Rattus norvegicus: one gene and its partner. The protein of the gene in region 1 interacts with the protein of each later gene in a pairwise test. Links are inferred from orthologs where the notes say so. Each region holds a gene or a part of one and is shown on either strand. Other genes may lie near its edges.

What was found.
Region 2: the proteins of Krtap26-1 (region 1) and Ccnjl interact in binary tests that used the Homo sapiens proteins (3 or more experiments, as listed by UniProt). The two-hybrid records come from large-scale screens. The link is inferred for Rattus norvegicus from reciprocal best matches to the Homo sapiens genes KRTAP26-1 and CCNJL.

What each region holds. Positions count from the first base shown.
Region 1 is NC_086029.1:41,450,755-41,453,233, forward strand, and holds Krtap26-1 (keratin-associated protein 26-1), read right to left. Parts: upstream 1,195-2,479; coding exon 553-1,194; 3' UTR 501-552; downstream 1-500. UniProt on the Homo sapiens protein: In the hair cortex, hair keratin intermediate filaments are embedded in an interfilamentous matrix, consisting of hair keratin-associated proteins (KRTAP), which are essential for the formation of a rigid and resistant hair shaft through their extensive disulfide bond cross-linking with abundant cysteine residues of hair keratins.
Region 2 is NC_086028.1:28,552,567-28,555,377, forward strand, and holds the end of Ccnjl (cyclin-J-like protein), read left to right. Parts: intron 1-61; coding exon 62-485; 3' UTR 486-2,311; downstream 2,312-2,811.

The DNA of each region.
Region 1 (2,479 bases):
TCAAAGGAAACAACCTAGGTTCACACAGGAGCCTATTGCCTGGTTTGCAATTAGAGAATATTCTGGTGGAGGTGTGTGCAATAGAAGTCAGAGGTAAGAGGTTTAGTGTTGAGCTCTCCTTTTGACCATAACTTTGAGAAAGGTCATGATTTGGTCCCCCATATTTTTCTGAGGCCATTACACTCCTAAATAATAAACCATTGTCCCCATGTCAGGTAGCATATACCTGACAGTGCAGTGTCCCCTAGCAAATGAAGTCAGGAAAGAAAACTCAATGCACTAGATTCTTAATTCTGGATTAATCTCGTTTATTATAGTGCAGATCATATCAGGTAGATTATCTTCCCACCTAAGCAACATGAGTGGCAATAGGGGCCAAGATTTTTCAAGGGAAAGATAAAAGCAAGTCACAGTGTGAAAGGAACAGTTTGCATTAACAGAGACACGGTGCAAACAAGGAAAAGCAGATGCTAACTGGAAAGAAGTGAACATCCAGAGAGTTGCAAGTTTTATCCTGGATCTTCGTCATTGCTGTTCACTAGAACAAGGAGGCTACTGGCCTCCTTGTGCAGAGCAAGATGGACGACAACTGCCAAACACAGGGATCGCCGGTTGGCAACCACCGCAGACAGGCTGCAGAGGTCTCAGGCTGTTTGACACAATGTGAATGGTCTGAGGGCCATAGGTCACACAACCTGAAGGCCTACATCCATAAGTGACGATGCCCACGGGTCGGCAGCTATTGGATACACAAGGGAGTGGGCGGTAGCCACCAGATCCACAGCTTACAGGACGGCAGCTGTTCATGAAAGGACTCACTGGCCGGCAACTGCTAGATACATAGCTCACGGGCCTGTAGGATGCTGGGAGGCAAGATCCAGAGATGAAGGAAGTCGTGGGAAGATAGCCAGATCCATGACAGGGTCTGGGCACACAATATGCAGAAGAGCAACAAGAGTTTTCAAAGCCGCTGGCCTCGCGGCTGGGTGGCTGGCCACTGATAGGTTCTGCAAAGGTCTCTGGGCAGTTGTCCATGAACCAGGTGTGGTCTTGACAGTTGCTGGGGACGCAGAAGACCTCTCCGCAGCCCATGTTTGTAGAGCAGAGGGCAATGTTGGAGCTGGCTGGGATGTGGCAGGAATTCCTGAGGGATCCAGAGGTGCAGCTGCTGGAGCAGTTGTTACGGTTAGCCATAGTGAACTGGAGAGGGTGGTGGTGGTCTAAGAGCGGCTGGGAGCACGTCAGGTGTGAGTGTGACACCCCATTCGTCTTGTCCCTTTATATATTCTCAGAGAGTGGCAGTTCTGTCTGCAGACTCATCTTCCTTGTTGTCTGAGGCCGCATCTGAACGCTCTCATACCCAGGAAGTAGCGCTCCTACCTCCCATAAAACTGGATGATCCCCGAAATGCCTCCCATCGATTGACTATAACCATAAATCAGTGTGCCTGGGTTTTAATAGGGCCCCTGGTAAATTTATCCAGCCCAAACAGATACTTTGGAAGGCTGTGGACTCACTACAGTTCTAACCACCAGCGCACAAATAGTTTTCTTAAGAATCCCTCTTGGAGCCGTCTTTGAAATTTGAAGCAAACTACTTTGAATAGTGGTGAACTACACATAACTAACTGAGAAATAATTCTATTCTCTTTGTAACATGGGCAAAAAGATATCCTATAAAGCAAGACGTTTGCAAAAGAAGATTTCTTTTTTAAAAAAATTCTTACAACTTTTAGGATCAAAAGACTTTTAAAGGCCATCCTGGGAAAGACCCCTGCCTGTTTTTCTTTATTTCAACATCTGAATAGAAAATGGTTTCCCATGAAAATATGTTTATTCAGAAAATGAGTGCTTGCTTCATTAAAACCTAAGGTTGAATAAACAGTCATTTGAGGTTGTGTTTTGTCTGTGATCGTTTAGAATATAGGTAATGAGATGTAGTTCAGTTAAAATGGTCGACTCCAGATTGAACATGAGCAAGTACATTAAAAAGGTTGGACAAAATGTCACGTATCATGAATCTAGCAGGATTATATATTTCAGGGTTTTCATATGACCACTGAAGTATATTGTTCCGGATAAAAAGAAAAAAAATCTACTATAATGAACATGGCATTGTTTATTTCCCACATGTGACCTCAATTTCCAAAAGGGACCCCATGCATTGGTTGGCATAAATAATCACATTAGAATTGTATGCAAACTTTTGCTAGGTTTGAGTACTTTGAAGGCTTTTCAAAAGCTGCCATGTCTCTGTCTCTACTAATGTGGTTTAAATGCATGGAGCTGGTCAGTCTCCACCGTCCACTGCGGTTTTCACAGAGTGGCGTACCCAGTACCTCCAGTGGCTATTTTTAATGGGAATTTAAATTATCTGTCAAAAATCTCAATTCCATTCCCTTTGGCTAAAAATTCAATTTAAATCACAGTGCTTTCTTCTCTTTTAATGTTCAATGGTCACAGCCACACTTATCCAGTCT
Region 2 (2,811 bases), on another chromosome or scaffold:
GTTAAGTAGGTGTCTAGTGACCTTTGATCTCCAAAACTCACTTGAGCCTTTTCCTTTTTAGAGCATATGACAATGTCCTCAAGGATGCCGTTGCAGTCAAGAGCCAGGCACTGGCCATGGTGCCCAGCTCATCATCAGCTCCCACCCAAGTGCTGTTCCAACCACCCACCTACCCTTCTCTCAGCCAGCCACCGCCAACAACACTAGCCCAGTTCCAGAGTCCAGCGCAGGACTTGTGCTTGGCATATCGGGACTCGTTGCAGGCCCACCGCTCAGGGACCCTGCTCTCAGGAGACACTGGTCCATCCCTCCACACGCCATACCCAACCCTTCAGCCCTTGGATATGTGTCCTGTGCCCGTTCCTGCATCCCTTAGCATGCAGATGGCCATAGCAGCTGAACCCAGGCACTGCCTTACTGCCACCTACGGAAGCAGCTACTTCAGCGGGAGCCATATGTTCCCCACAGGCTGTTTTGACAGCTAGGCCACAATTGGACCATAGGGAGAATCCTGGAAGACCCGACCAAGGAAGTAAATACCTAAGAAGAGAACTAGTCCAGGTGAGGCAAAGAACCTAGTATCTTTCAATAGAGAGGGTCTGTGCTTTTTTTTAAAAAAAGAAGAAACCAACAAAACAAAACATCCAGGGACATATCTCACCCAACAGGGTCTCTCTGGGAAACCTCTTTCATGTGTGCTTGGAGGACAAAGACATGGCTCTGTGACCATTCCCTTGAGCTGGGGGATCCAATGGAGCGTATCAGACTGGAATTTGAGGACTGCATACAGATCAGTACTACATCTGGGCTTCTCAAAGACTACTTTTCACAGCTATGCCACTGAAAAAGAAGGGGCACCTGGCACGTTTGTCTATGTCCCTAGAAGATCCATCCTGAGTGTTCTTCACTCCCTAGCTCTGCTCCATGGGCCCCATGGCCAGTGTTTATGCCGAGCACTGACCCCACGGGGCCCAGTGAGCAGCTATCTTGCCCTCTGTATTTGAACCCCCGATCTTTTCATTCTTCTAGATATTCCACATGCTGCTGCTTCCTGGAACAATCTAGCTTTCTATCCTGCAAAAAATCATCTTGTTTACATACCGTGTCAGGGATTTTTGTGATACTTGAAAATTCCGTAGGAGCAAAAAGTTTTAATTGCCTCACTGTCTGTCCCACACGAGGCTGTATCTTTTATTAACCCAACTCGGGACCAACTGGTGGATAACAACAGCGAGGATGAGGATGCCACCCCTCCCCGTCTGGAAGAGTCCACCCCTGGGATGCTAGTGTTCTCCTGTTGGACTTGGATTACTGCCCCCTGGTGGGGGAATGTTGTTGAGAGGAAGACAAAGGTTTGAACTGGTCCTCACTTCCCTCCACCACATGCTCATAGTTCTTAAACCGATCCCAGCTTTGAGTTTGGCCGATAATTAATCATGCTGTGGACTGTTATAAAAGTGGGGGGACTAATGGGGTATGTGACACCAGCATGGATAGGCAAGAGACTGCTGGAGCAAAAGCCCATGTCTGGGATCTGCAGTGCAAGGGCTCAGGAACACCGTCACCGTGTGCAATATGTTATGATTGTGACTCACAGCCTGTGCTTAAGATGTTCTTGTGCTTGCGGTCTTTTTTTTTTTTGTTGTTATTGCTGTTGTTGTTTTCTGGTCAGGGGATTTGTTGTTCACCCATCAGAATTGGAAGGGAGGTGCAAAAGACCACAGAAACAAAAATTGTAATTTTGTTTCAGTTGGTTTTTGTTTTCTTTTACTTTGCCAGGAGATTTTTTTTTTTTTTTGAGATGATCAGATGTAGCTAAGGCTACCCTCAAACTTAGTGCATAGCCAAAGCTGGCCTTGAACTCCTGATCCTCCTGCTTTAGCCTCCCATGTTTGCCACCACACCTAGTCTCCCGGCTTTGACACATTTTCTGATCCAAGAGACCCTAGCAGGGACTGCCGGGAAGGTGGCCACATGCTACTGAGTCGGATTTAACAGTGACAGGGCTTTTCTAAGCAGATGAATGTCTCATGGAAACAGAACAAGGAAAGAGCTGGAGGCTGTCATTTTCTCTATTAGCATAGGAACCTGCACATTCGTTTGTTATTTGTATGTGTGTGTGTGTATGTTTTGGCTCCTCCCCCTCCACCTCCTCCACCAGCCTCTGTATTTATATGCAACTGATTTGGAGTCTGTTATATCTGTCTATTCTGGGCTGGGGCTTTTGAGAGAAGTATCTCCACGGGAGCCCCAGAACTAGCCTGATTCTCAGGATCAGATGTCCTTCAATAAACACATCACCTGCTCTTGGTCTCCGCTGCCTTTGTCTGGACATGTCTTAGCAGGTCAACCCTCCCCCACCTCTCTACTCAACCTCAGTGAGAGTCTCCTTTGGGTGAGAGGTAAGAGAGATCAAGAGGTTTGTGAGCTTTCTCATGTCTGTGACAAAATGACCCAATAAAGCAACCTACAGGAGAAAAATGTTTATTTTAGCTCATGGTTTGACATGCAGTCCGCCGTGGCAGAGAAGCCATGGTGCAGGGCAAGTGGAGTTTGTGATAGCTGTGGTTTGTGATAGCAGAAGGTTGTTTGCTCATGTCTCCATGGATCAGGAGCAGAAATGGAATGGGGAGTAGAGCCAGGCAGTCATTGTCAAGGCCGGGTCCCTAGAGATCTACTCCCTCCAGCTAGGTCCCAAGTACAGAAGGTTCCACAACCTCCCAAGACAAGACCACCAGCTGAGGACCAAGTGTTTGAACACACGAGCCTGTGAGGGACCTTTTACAAGATTTGGAGCTGTCAGCAGCAAGA